2 linked regions of the Danio rerio genome follow. The protein of the gene in region 2 interacts with the protein of the main gene of each other region in a biochemical or structural test. Links are inferred from orthologs where the notes say so. Each region holds a gene or a part of one and is shown on either strand. Other genes may lie near its edges.

What was found. The genes of interacting proteins can lie anywhere in the genome.
Region 1: the proteins of glmna (region 2) and fkbp4 form a complex in vitro, tested with the Homo sapiens proteins (2 studies listed by BioGRID). The link is inferred for Danio rerio from reciprocal best matches to the Homo sapiens genes GLMN and FKBP4.

Annotation. Positions count from the first base shown.
Region 1 is NC_133193.1:7,694,654-7,702,421, forward strand, and holds the start of fkbp4 (peptidyl-prolyl cis-trans isomerase FKBP4), read left to right. Parts: upstream 1-3,747; 5' UTR 3,748-4,043; coding exon 4,044-4,133; intron 4,134-5,109; coding exon 5,110-5,254; intron 5,255-6,204; coding exon 6,205-6,347; intron 6,348-7,768. UniProt on the Homo sapiens protein: Immunophilin protein with PPIase and co-chaperone activities. Component of steroid receptors heterocomplexes through interaction with heat-shock protein 90 (HSP90).
Region 2 is NC_133177.1:11,257,339-11,264,377, reverse strand, and holds part of glmna (glomulin, FKBP associated protein a), read right to left. Parts: intron 6,816-7,039; coding exon 6,634-6,815; intron 6,547-6,633; coding exon 6,493-6,546; intron 6,410-6,492; coding exon 6,379-6,409; intron 3,970-6,378; coding exon 3,880-3,969; intron 3,803-3,879; coding exon 3,761-3,802; intron 3,666-3,760; coding exon 3,592-3,665; intron 564-3,591; coding exon 479-563; intron 1-478.

The sequences.
Region 1 (7,768 bases), on a different chromosome or scaffold from region 2:
ATTGTGACAACCCATTTGCTAATGCACACTGAGCAAGCTAATATGCAATACACACAAGAAGTTAAATGCATGAGAAGGCATGTGGACATAACACAATATCTAAATCAAGTAGTTTAGCATGTCAAAGTCAAATTTAAGCAAAATATATTTTCCCGACAAGAAAAGTGTGGCTAGTAAAAATGGTGAGTGGCTAGTAAAGTTGGAAATCTACTAATCTACTAGCCACAGTGGCTGGTGATCAAAAAAAGTTAATGTCAAGCCCTGTATGTATATATATATATATATATATATATATATATATATATATATTCATGCCTAATATAATATCTAATATCAAATTTTAATAAATTGCTAAAATATTGGTTGTGTTCACCATAATTTTACAATAAATTCACTTTGATGTGTGATATGACTACAAGTGGTCATAAACAAAAATGTTCTCAATTTAAATGAATAGCGGCTTGGACCCAGAAACAGTATTCCATACGTCAAGACATAACAAGTGGATAGCAGTACTTTGACTGCTTGTGAGCTTGGTTTGATAGTTCTGATACCTTTAACTTGTTCACCATGTCCCTCTCTGCTTTCTTCTGCACAAACTCAGACACCCAGTCTGGCTCTGGTGGTCCGCTATTGCTGTTCTTCTCCTTCACAACATCACTGTCCTTCTGTCCTTCCAGAAGTCTAGCAGCCTCCTGTTTCCTCTGCTCCTCATAGTCTCTCAGCCACGTCAAAGCTCCACAGATGAGGCTCAGAGACTTTCCCTGCAGAATCAAACACAATATAGATCAAACATCCACTGCCATCTTAGGAGAGACACTGCAGGTGAAACACTGTTTTTTCATCCAATGACCAGATTTAGATGTAAAAAAAAAAAACATCCAAAATACACTTTTAGGTGTTTCCTTTGTTGCATTTTATGTTTTTTAGTTATGTCTATACATTTTTATTTAAATACAGTTTTATCAAAATGTGTGTTTTTTTCTAATGCATTGAGCATCATGGGAGCCACTAAGCCTATTTTAGGGGGGCTGTAGCTACTCTGCACCCCAACATTTTTTTGCGATTAGCTCATGAACTGTACACTAAATTATCGCCTCAGTCCACTTTAAATCTTGATCTTAATTCGGCTTTTTCGACGATTCAGCCGATTATATTTTCAAGGTCAGGAAAAAAGCATATGATGCAAAAATGAATATCCTAAAATCGCCCCTGCTGAGCATATATCTCCACTTCATCAGCACTTACATAGTCACAACACATTGTACAGTTTTATTCTGTATGCCTATATAATTTGCTAAATTTGATTATATACTCATTGTGTTAACAAGATTCCTTTTGTATCTTTCCCAAAATTGACTGAAATAAAAAAACATGAACTTTAAACCCGACTTAATCGAATATTCAGATGTTTGTGCTAAAAATGTTTGCACATTAGAGCACATTTAATGAAATATGAAGATACTGACGAGTCGAAAACGTGTAATACAAATAATGTTCAACAATCTAAGTATAGTGATAACTATTATTCAATTTGTAACCCTGTTTACCTGCAGTGCCTTAGCTGAGGGTAAACTGAAACCATAACCTCATGTGGAGACTCACCGTGCCTGTGGGACTCTCGAATATACCGACTTTACGCTGATCCAGGGCGGTGTAAAGCGCCTCCATAAAGCTCTCCTGGATGGGATACGGCTGGAAAGGGAAAGGAAACCGGCCACTTTTGCTCTCCATTTTATATATGTGGCATTAGATTAGATTCCTAAATAACGTTAAAGGCCGAATAACACGAAAATCAACACTGCATATGAGCGCTTTTTACGCCGACAATAAACTCCTCATGGTATCATCAAAATATGACTTCAGTTATGATAAAAATCTACCGTATAATCCCAATGAAATCGCAAATAGCAAACAGAATTAACAGGTAACTACACAACAAACCAAAACACGTTCTGACAGTGTAAACTTCCTCGAACAAACGCGCCAGTCTTCTGCCTCAGCCAATGAACACGAGGGAAAACTTCTTAGAGGATAGGAACCATCATTAAAGTTCACTCTTTTGTGAAAAACGAAAACGGATGATTTTTTTTTTTTTAATGATTCATGTTTATTTTTCAATAATTTTTAATACAACTGTGATGTTTTGTTTATCAGTAATACTTTTGTTGTATTTTCTTCGGTTTTAATGTATTTTAATTGGGTAAATGTAGACGTATGTGGAAAAACTTTTATTTGTCAGTAACCTGGGTCAAGCGCTTCTAGTGAACTGTATGCCACTGAAATGTTTTCAGTTTTTGTATTAGTGGTTTTTATGTGCATGCAATTTCCTTGATGTTTAAATATTTGCATATAGCAACATTAACAACATAGATTATAAGATTCAGTGTAAACTTTATTATTATAACTTACAAACTATGTATTATAATGCAGGCTAGTATTATCTATCTATCTATCTATCTATCTATCTATCTATCTATCTATCTATCTATCTATCTATCATCTCCCTGTCTCCGCTTGTTAAGTGTGATGTCGTCATGCGAAGCGGCTTCCAGGTCAAATCACTTTATCAAACTGTATGAGGAGACTCATGAAAGGGTAATGATAAACATTTTCAAAGCGCTGTAATACTTGCGAAAATCATGATCGCAATATATAGATCCATGCCTAATATCCGATGGGCAGAAAGTGATTCGTTTTTTTTTTTATAAATTGTTAAAATTTTGGAATTTGGGATGCAGCAAGCCCAGAGACTGTTGTGTACACCATAACTTTATATAAAATTCACTTTAATGTATAATAAGAATAAAAAGTGATCATAAACAAATATTTTGTCAATTCAAATGAGTGGACCCGGAAAAAGTATTACATACGGCACCAACACGTCACCACTTAACAAGCGAATAGAATTATTCATTCATTCATTTTCTTGTTGGCTTAGTCCCTTTATTAATCCGGGGTCGCCACCGCAGAATGAACCGCCAACTTATCCAGCAAGTTTTTACACATCGGATGCCCTTCCAGCCACAACCCATCTCTGGGAAAACTAATAAAATTATATAGACTAAAATATGTGCTTTCATACACTTAAATTAAATAATATAGCTGAAGTGTTTATCCAAAGCAGGTTATGATCTAATGGGGACTTTTCAAGTAATCCGAGCAACATCAACAATAACATGACAGCTTAGGCAGTTACACTTGTAGTGTGAGTGCAAAGTGCGCCTGAGTGTGTCACTTTTAAGGGACTGTTTCATATGGATTTATTAATCATTCTTACTTTTCAATGAACGTGCACTGTCAGTTATTCAGTTATTAAATATGCAGACGCCCCATATATATGATGTCAGTATGGGAGATTTTACAGTTAGAAGGTAATATATATATATATATATATATATATATATATATATATATATATATATATATATATATATATATATATATATATATATATATATATATATATATATATAAAGCTTTATGTAAATGCTAACAGATATTTTCCTTTTTATTAAATATACACTGCTAAAACGGTATCAGTTTTTACAATTCAAATGAAAATGTGGAAAATAGAATAGTCATATTGTAATAGGAGTGTTGATTACGACATTTGGATTTCTCTACAATCTGATTGTATCACAAACTCGCATATCCCTTTCTCCGCTAATGACTGGGTTTAGAATTTTGCGACGGTCCCTCACGCTGCAGTCAGTTCTAGACTTTGCCGTCTCCTCGCTCTCGCGCAGCTCTGGAAAGTTCGCTGAGTCGATTCAGTTTCCAGCGGCGGCCCGATCGTTATATAAACGCCTCGCGGAGTCCCTGCGCGTTCCCAAAAACCACATTTATCGGCCGCTGACTGCCACAATCGCGCGATAGCTTAGCAAATCCACTCCTAATACCGAAATTAAAGCCGTTTAGCCCTGCAGACGTCGAGTCTTCAGTGATTTCTGCACGTTAGCTGTTGAAGGAAAGACCTCGGCGAGGAGACTCAGTCTGTATTTTGGTGGTATTTTGAAGGTGATACCTATATTAAAGCGACGATGACTGCAGAGGAGGTGGCGAATGAAGGTTGTAGCATCCCCATCGAGGGTGAAGACATTACCCCGAAGAAAGATGGAGGGGTTTTAAAGGTAAATACTGCAGGGCATTGAGCCGCATTGACTCCATGTGGGAGGTGTGACTGACTAAAAAGCATGTTACAGACGATATGTCTGTCTATTAATGCACTTTTACTACTGCTATAGCTGTTGTTGTGCATTTAAATGTGACTATTTTAACAGTATGTATTAATAAACAACGCCTGTTGCTAATTGTGCTGCGTTTTCTAGATCTTTCTACCGCGCCTAAAGAGAGAATTCGCTTCAGAAATTATAATATTTCTGATCTGATTCATTTCGTCTCAATGTGTTCATAAACCTATATGATTTACCTTGTAATGTAAACACAAAAGGAGACATTAGCGTCTGACAGCCGCGGGTCACCGTTCACTTTCATTATGCATTGTTGTATGCTAACGTTACTAAAACGAATGGTGACTGGTAAATATATTGTTTTGTAAACAAAAGCACAACCATTCAGTTTTATAAACAACGTTAAAGTTAGCAAATGTGACAAATCTTATTTTTAGGTGAATCTTCCTATTTATTTTTAGTATTACAATTCTTTTGGTTTGCAATGTTAATTAAACAAAGTTTTGTGCCGCTTCTGTTTAATATACAAGTGACACATGTAACTTATGTGATTAAAATCAGTAGCAATCAAAGCATGTAATCTCTGGAAACCTCAGGTTGGTGTTATCAGATACAAATACAGGAATTACTTGTTTGGGATAATTAAACGCTTTCGGTGCAACTCATTCAAGAAGAATTCACCTAAATAACTTAATAATTTTATTTATTGTGTGATTATTGTGTGGAATATGGCTCTGTGTATGCTTAAACTATTCGATTATTACAAACATATAAGAGTTATTTGTGTATAAAGTCATTAACCTAAGCATTAGGCGTGAACATCTTTCTGCCCTGCGGTCTTTGAAGATTGACAGGTCACAGGTGTAGTGCAGTGTGCCCAACAGATTGAAGATGAATCTCTTTCTCTCTTCCACAGTTGGTCAAGAAGGAGGGTACTGGCACCGAGTTGCCTATGATTGGTGATAAAGTATTTGTGCACTATGTCGGAACACTGCTTGATGGCTCACAGTTCGACTCCAGCCGTGATCGAGGGGAAAAGTTCTCCTTTGAGCTGGGCAAAGGTGAGTAAGGGTGAAGTGCGCTAAATGGTAGTTCGCCCTCGCTGACTCTTAAACAGAGTCTAGGTGAATTAGATGAATTGAATCCATCTTTATTTCTGTAGCGCTTTTACAATGTAGGCTGAGTCAAAGCAGCTTAACATAGAAGTTGTAGTAGATTGAAACTGTGTCAGTCCAGTTTTCAGAGTTGAAGTTCAGTTCGACTAAAATCAGCATACTCCACGTCTAAATTCGATTTCTGTTTGGATCGATTATGACCTTAATTAGATTAAATGAATCAAATCGCTGTTTACATGGTAGACTCTTAATCAGAGTATTGTCTTAATCGTATTAATAAGATTATTGGTGTCCATGTAAACGTACTTGATGATAATCTTGACTAACTAACCTGTCTGTCTTTATGTTGTGCGCCTAAACACACAACTATAATGTCACAGCCGTAAAGCTTCTGACACACTTTAAAACTGTAAACAACATTTCCCCTGAAACTATGAGTTTGTAAGAATGTGATCAGATTAACCTGTTCATCTTGATGTTTAATGTACTCGGCAACCTCTGTAGTTTCATTTAGCTTCTTGTTTCTTTTTCATGAATAGCAGAAGCTTAAATAATAAACCACAAGGGTGTATTCTCAATGTCTCTTATCTTGTTGTAAACATGAAAACATCTTAGACATTTCTTAATATTATGTTACTTAAAATTGCTTTAGATGAAATACCTGATTTGTGATGATAGAATTGAAAGTAAAATAAAAGATATATCTAGAAATGTAGCAGGTATTATATATATTTTTACTTGTCGATTAGATTGAGGCGAATACAAATCCAAGCCTGTGTTCGAGATAAGGGCAGAAAACTGCAGGGCATAGGAACAGATGCATTTGTAAATGCAAGCAAAACATCATTGCGCATCCAAGTCAACAATTTTAGACAATTATTTGCTCCATCTCGCAGGTCAGGTGATCAAAGCATGGGACATCGGTGTGGCTACAATGAAGATTGGCGAGATCTGCCAATTGACATGCAAACCTGAGTATGCATACGGAGCTGCTGGCAGCCCCCCAAAAATCCCTCCTAATGCTACTCTTCTGTTCCAGGTAATGTAATAGACTGCTGAGATTGTCAATGTTTGTACTGGTGCGGGAAATCCTTAAAAAATATGCTTGAATTTGGATCTGCTGTTTTTAAGGTCTTGGATAAAGTGCTTGAAAATGTAATTGAAACAATTTCTTACGTAATATGGAATAATGATGAAGTACTTAAATAAAAATAAGTCTCTTTCCTTTTCTTTTTTTTTTTTTTGTCTGCGCTTTTGGAAATTTTAAATTTGACATTTAACTTACACTTGCCGGCCACTTTATTAGGTACACTTACTAGTACAGGATTGGACCCCTTTTTGCTTTCAGAACTGCCTTAATTATTCGTGGCATAGATTCAACAAGATACTGGAAATATTCCTCAGAGATTTTGGTTCATATTGACATGATAGCATCACGTAGTTGCTACAGATTTGTCGGCAACACATCCATGATCAGTCTGGCCATTCTACTCTGACTTCTGGCATTAACAATGCATTTGCACCCCCCGAACTGCTGCTGCTACCTGTCTGGTTGTGCATGAAAATCCCTGTAGATCAGCAGTTTCTGAAATACTCAGACCAGCCCAACTGGCACCAACAAACATGCCGTGTTCAAAGTCAAAATCTTTGTTCCCCATTCTGATGCTGTTGGAACTGCAGCAGATCGTCTTGACCATGGCTGTTTCTCAATATGCGTTCTTCAGCGGTCTTGCGTCCTCGTGTTCTCGTGCAACGTCAAGGCCGCAAGTACGGAGGACGCGTGAAACTTCCCGGATGTGATCTTGATATCGAGGACGCACTGATGCAGACTTGAGCACCGAACTCGCTCTGGAAGTCCCAGAAGTCATTGCGACTGGAGGTGGGAAGCGCAGCATTTAATTTAGATTTATTATTAAAGTTCAGAGATATCACTTATTTACCTCAGGAGTTTTCCTAAATGAAACGGTGAAAGTAAACATTAACATGAATATCTTAAAAAAGGAATAAACACATTAAGGGTGTTTGTTTGCTGAAATTCGTATTAAAATTTGTTTTATTTATATTGTGCAGAGTATATTTATAATGTTTTTATGCAAAGTATATATTTTGAAGAGAAGGGAAAACAATAAATCGTTGTATGAGTGCTGTAATGTTTAAATGATTTACATTTAAAACGAGTGAAGGTCACGTGACCATCAGGAAGAACGCAGCATCCCATTTCTCAAAGGACGCGTTTTCTGCCCTCGCGGTCTCCCGAGTTCGTTCTTCCGAGGATACCTGTCAAGACCGGTCTCCACAAGATCGCAAGTCCATTCTCTGCGTTCTTGGAATTGAGAAACAGCCCATGTCTTCATGCCTAAATGCATTGAGTTGCTGCCATGTGATTGGCTGATTAGAAATTTGCGTTAACGACAGTTGGACAGGTGTACCTAATAAAGTGTAAAAGAGTGTAAAACGTGT
Region 2 (7,039 bases):
GCATTTCTTTATTTGCATGTGTATTTTCATATAAATACAATTTTAAAAAAGATACAATTGAAAAAATAAAGAGTTTTATCATTTTCCTGATTTCTGAGTATTCAAGTACAGTAACTGAATGATACAATAATTCAATAAAATTAATTGTTATTAATGTTACAAACTGTACAATTTTTTATACCAGAAGGCTTTTAAAATCATTATACAATCACAGCATCGAAAAAACACACAGAAAATGATAAATTATAACACAAAATCAACATTGCATATGATGTGACTATAGCAAACGATCACATTGTGATATTGATGCTGAAAGGATATATATATATATATATATATATATATATATATATATATATATATATATATATATATATATATATATATATATATATATATATATATATATATATATACAGCCCTACTAGTAACTATAACTATTTACTCTGCATAGCATGCCCAACACTGGTTATCTTACCTTGAGGGAAGAGTCAATCTGATTCTTGATATTCTTGATAATATATCCCTCCACTCCTGCATGATGACTGGTTTTCAACATACCTCTGAAAAGTAGAGAAATCCTATACATCAGACAGTTAGACATCATAAAACTTATCTAAATATCGATGCTATTTAAACACTAGTCTGATAGTCCCAAGTGCAAGGTTCTAAATTCACATTGTAAAATATAAATCACATTTGATTAAATCAGTTAGAGCTGTTAATCGATTAATCACATCCAAAATAATAGTTTGTTTTTAAAAAATGGATGTGTACTCACTTTGTATTAATTAAAAAAATAATAATAATTATATAAAAAAAACACAAAACCAAATTAATTGTGTATATATATATATATATATATATATATATAAATATATATATATATATATATATATATATATATATATATATATATATATATATATATATTTATATATATATATTTATATATATATATATATATATATATATATATATATATATATATATATATATATATATATATATATATATATATATATATATATATACACACACACATATGTTTTTATTTTGGATGTGATTAATCTTTTGACAGCACTAATATAATCTATCAAAATAAACCTTGTCCAACATAAGAATGTATACCAGTGTTTACATTAGTATCAGTGTTTTGCTAAATTGGTGCATAAACTGGATAATCATATCAACATACTGTATATAAAAGCAAACCATGGTGCAGCCATTACTTGAAATTCTCCATGGTTTAACAATGGCACATTATTATATTGTTACCGGTCTCTCAATCGTGCAACACACAGGACTGAAAGCCTTTTTTGCACATTGCACATTTTACAGACACTTATGAACATTGCACATCTGCACATTCATGCACTTTCCACACCCACTGGACACTCTTGGACAGTTATGCACATCTGCACACAACCTGGATATATACTGTTGAAGTCAGAATTATTAGCCCCCCTTTGAATTATTTTTTCTTTTTTAAATATTTCCTAAATTATGTTTAACAGAGCAAGAAAATTTTCATAGTATGTCTGATAATATTTTTTTATTCTGGAGAAAGTCTTATTTGTTTAATTTCGGCTAGAATAAAAGCAGTTTAAAATTTTTTAAACACCCTTTTAAGGACAAAATTATTAGCCCCTTTACACTATTTTTTCCCGATAGTCTACAGAACAAACCATCATTATACAATAACTTGCCTAATTACCCTAACCTGCCTAGTTAACCTGATTAACCTAGTTAGGCCTTTAAATGTTACTTTAAGCTGTATAGAAGTGTCTTTAAAAAAATCTAGTTAAATATTATTTACTGTCATCATGGCAAAGATAAAATAAATCAGTTATTATGAAGGAGTTATTAAAACTATTATGTTTATAAATGTGTTGAAAAAATCTCTCCGTTAAACAGAAAATTGGGTAAAAAAAAAAATAAACAGGTGGGCTAATTATTCTGCCTTGAACTGTATTGTATAGTTCTAGTATACTCCATACAGATTAGCAGGCTTGACAAACCACTAGGGATGCTCTGATCAGGTTTTTTTTGCAGCTGATACAGTGTACCGATTCCTTGTCATGGTGATCGGTCGATACCTTGTACTGATTCTGATGCTTCAAGGCACTTTAAGTAACTTTGCCATTACATAAAGCACCTTTTTTTTCTCTAAGTACTTAAGTGGAGATCTCTCCTTACCTAAGATAATAAACAAAGGATGCTGCATATAATCCTATACATTATTATTACTGCCTATAATCGTAAAAATGTCTCTTATAACCATTTCATGTCGACAGAAGCACCTTTACAGAAAATAATAGATAACATGTGGGACACACGCGTACCTTCTGGGAGAGTTCATACGGTTGGACACAAGATGGGGTTGATTGCTCTGCTAGTATCACAGCTAGGCATGGGACGATAACCGTTTTCAAGGTATACCACGGTTTGAAGAAGTCAAGGTTTTAAAAATGCCAGAATTTTCTGCAATACCGTTCCTAAGGTATGTGTAAGATTTTTTTTTACTTTTTTGTTTTGTTTTTTAGGACAACAGTAACTCCAGCAAAAAATAAAAAATAAATAAATAAAAAAATAAAATAAAGCTGTAAATTAAATTGTAAAAAAAATAAATAAAATAAAATCGGTGTCTTCGGAACAAATGTAGACAACAGAGGTAAATTAATCTTTTGATTTATTTATACTGACAATTTACTGCTCCAAACTATTATAAATCTTTCAAAAGATAAAATATATTGGGGAAATTTTTTTTTGTTTTTTTACCCAGACATTTAAAAAGAAAATATTTTAGAGCATATTTGTAATCACAATACTGTTAAACTATGATAATTTTATCCAATGTTACCATACTGTCAGAATCTTATACCGGCCCATGTCTAATCACAGCAGCTCAAAACACTGGATATACAATGGTTACAACAAAGAGACTCTCACTAAAATGAATAAACAGAGGTCGCACCACATCTGTAAATATTTTAGCTGCTGTGAAGCATGCGCAGCGATCACTGTTGTAGTGCAGCTATCTGTTCAACCTAGGTGCGCACGTGCATCTTCCTCTCCTTGTAAACTCATGAACTAACACCCGTTATCCGAGATCAGCCAGATTGACGAGTACCGATTGAGTCATTAAATGTGATTATCAGCCATTGCCGATCTCCGGCCAATCAATTTGAAAATCCCTACAAACCACCAGTATAATACACTCATTCCTCTCTTATGCACCGGGCACTTTGTTAGAAACACTTCTGTTTCTGTTTGTACAGAAAAATCTTTTATATTTTTATACTATGTACTTTCTTTCTACAGCCACATCTGAAGTCTTTAAATATTTTATATTTGCTTTAATTTCTATTGCATTACATCTATTTCTTTATAATTTAGAATATTGTTGTTATTACTTTTATCATTTCATTATTGTTGTTATTATTTTAAGGTCACGAATGGTTGTGTAAGCATTTCTCTGTATATCACACTGTTTATGACTCTGTATGTCGCGTTGTTTTCTATCAAATAACAATATTGTGTTTTACCAAATAATAATAACATTTTCCAAACATCAGAATGAGGGCTTACCTGAAAAACTTGTATTTAGCTTCTGTGTTGAATTTGTCAATGCTCAGCTGAAACACTTTAAGGCCTTTAGTTCTCTGTGATAATGGTTTAAGCAGAGACCAATAAAAATTAACAATGAGAACACCAATGATATATTTCATTTTACCTCCACACACAACCTCATACTTACCAGAGTCTGGTCTGGACACATAGTCATAACTTTAACCAAGTTCTAAAGAGAAAACGGAGGGTTTATCAGTAACATTTAATATAAACACATGCATAACTGTTATGTTTATTCATTTTTACCTGTGGAACACTAAAAAATGTCTTTAGCTCCAAAAGATCTACTGGCAGACTGTTCTCTTCAACTCTTACAAGACTTTTTTCATACAGTTCCTGTGATTGAAGAATTACAGCAAAATTACAATGACAGGTAATTCACTACTTGACAAAGGTCTTGTCATCGATCACAGTTGTAAAAGCAACAAATAATAACTTGACTAAGTTGATCATGTGGAAAAGTGGCAGAAGGTAGATTTTTCAGATGAATCTTCTGTTGAACTGCATCCCAATCATCACAAATACTGCAGAAGACCTACTGGAACCCACATGGTCCCAAGATTCTCACAGAAATCAGTCAAGTTCGGTTAAGGAAAAATCATGGTTTAGGGTTACATTCGGTATAGGGGCATGCGAGAGATCTGCATGGCAACATCAACAGCTACCTCAGTTTCTCAGACTACTAATATAAGTAAAGTTTATTTATAAACTATTTTCGAGAGGAGCACATGCTCATGATTGATAGCACCTAGTCCACATTAGCTAACACACTGATTTACCAATCAGACGACTCCTTAACCACTATAAATAACCAGAGTATCTTACTTCAGCCATCTTCATCTTGAAGAATCCCCTCTTCCACCCCAACTCCTCCCATTTCCTTGTCAGGGCAGCATGGAGGCCTAGTGGTTAGCACCATGGCCGCACAGCAAGAATGTCACTGGCTCGGACACTTCCTGGCCAGGTCGGCATTTCAGTGCGGAGTTTGCATGTTCTCCTTGTGTTTGCGTGGGTTTCACCGGACTCTCCGGTTTCCTCCCACAGACCAAAAACATGTAACATAAGCAAATTGACAAATCTAAATTGACAGCATACACACCTCACAGCATTAATCTACTTCCAACATTATCAAGCAGGGGAGTTCTTGAGACCTAACTGAACTCGGACTCCCCTCTCGCCCTGCAACAGGAGGTAGCCCCGGGCTCAAGGATCTCACGAGTTCAGGGCTCTCTCCCGGAACAGTATGCCAAACTACAGTAGCTTCATTAATCAATCATCAGCTAAGGGCGAACTCTTGAAATCTGTGTGTCGTCAGCAAAGCAATGATAATTAATATCATATTTTTGTAGAATTTTTCCCAGAGGTAGCATATAAATGCTAAACAAAAGTGGCCCGAGTACCGAACCCAGGGGGACACCGTGACACAGACCAGTCCGCGATCTATGACCTCCCAAATAAATGAACTGTGATTGTTCAGTGAGGTAGGATATAAACCAACTTAGTGCTGTCCCGGCTAAGCCAACCCAGTTTCGAAGTCTGTCCAATAGTATGCTGTGAGAGATAGTGTCAAATGCTGCAGTTAGATCCAAGAGCACCAGAATACCACAAGCCCCAGAGTCAGCAATCATAAGGTCATTAGTGACCTTAACTAAAGCTGTTTCCACACTGTAACCCGATCTAAAGCCCGATTGAAATACATCAAATAAGGCATTTAGCTTAAGGTGGTTTTGCAGTTGACCCGCAACCACACGCTCAAGAACATACACAACATTAATTATTTCCGACTGCACCATGACTTTATATTCTATACTGTACATCAGTGTTTCTCAACTGGTGGTTCGCGACCCATTTTTAGTGGGTCACAGAGTGTGTGGTGAAAAAAAAAAAAAGTTTAAAAACATATTTTGCTTACACCGGACTTTTATTTTAAAATGCGCTCGCGACAACCCTACCGTTTGACATGTGAAATTTCATTTAATTAAAGCAATAAATATGCAAGATGAAAAGTATGGATTTACATATATTGACAACAAAAAACACTTCAAGCCTCGGTGTGCCATATGTAGTGAGGTGCTCTCACAATAGAGCATGAACTCTTTTAAACTAAAATGACATTTAGAAACCAGACAACAATATGTTTAATTAACAATTCAGTTTAGTTCATGATACTTTCATGAACTTTCCTTATTCTAACCACTGTTTACAGTATTTGTCGTTTTTACTTTGTATTATTTCTATAATTTGATACATTTTGTTATGACAACAATAAAATACGGTTTATTTGTAAATATTGGTAATTTTCTTATGATTTACTTATGTGTGCTAACAAATGAATGCGAATTAATTATAATTCCTAAATTTATAATATAGTTCCTTAAAATTTGGGTCACAGCTTGATGACCATGTAAAGATGTGGGTCCCATGGCCAAACCAGTTGAGAACCCCTGCTGTACATTATTTATGTTAAGTGACAAGACTTTTGTCAAAGCAAAGTCAGACTTTACTGTCCTAATTGAATAATTATAAATCAAAGCACGATCATTTTTTATTTTTTTTTGTAAAATATGCGCAATTTAAAGGCCTTTGCCTTTCATATTAGCCACTTCTGATCCAAAATGATCATCTAGATGTCAAGTTATTATTTGTTGTTGTTAAAACTTGGATAGGCGACAAGACTTGGTAATGTACATCAATTGGTGCCTAAATGATACATTTGTGGTAAGAACTGAGGCGTAATGAACATACCAGTCCTTTCTGCAGACGGTTTTCTTCAGTTCTGTGGAGGAAGAGCAGAAGATGAACATACAATAATTACGAGAACTCAAACTTACTCAGTTAAAACTACCTAGTTATAATTACCTGCTTAAAAGCAACTCAATGTATTCCATGTTGCACTGAAGAACAAAAATTGGACTGAAAAAAAAAAAAACATGTCAGCATTAATATGAGGATTTATTCAGAGATGATTTATAATACAAATTAAACTCCTCATCTCTTCACCTGAAAACAGCTGGAAATATGTCGACAGCTATATGATCCACAAACAGCAGGTGGGACATGCAGGCCAGAGACTCTTTCGGGTATCGGACCTCCTCCTCAAGAAAACCCGGGACCTTCCTTCTCCTCAGGACATTACGACTTAACAAATCAGGAAGGGACTCACCAATATCAGACAAAATAATCTGCGGAAATGATCCACAATGCTAATTAAGAATGAAAATGTACATCACGGCAGTAGATTTGAAATACAGTAAATAAGCCACTTATACATTTGATTCTTTTGTAATTTAATGCAATTCTGGTGGTGCATTGGAGAATTCAAATGTTTGGGATTTTTTTTTAAATGATTATGCTCATCTACCAGAACTCTGATAGTTTAATTAAAAACACACACAGTAAAAATGTA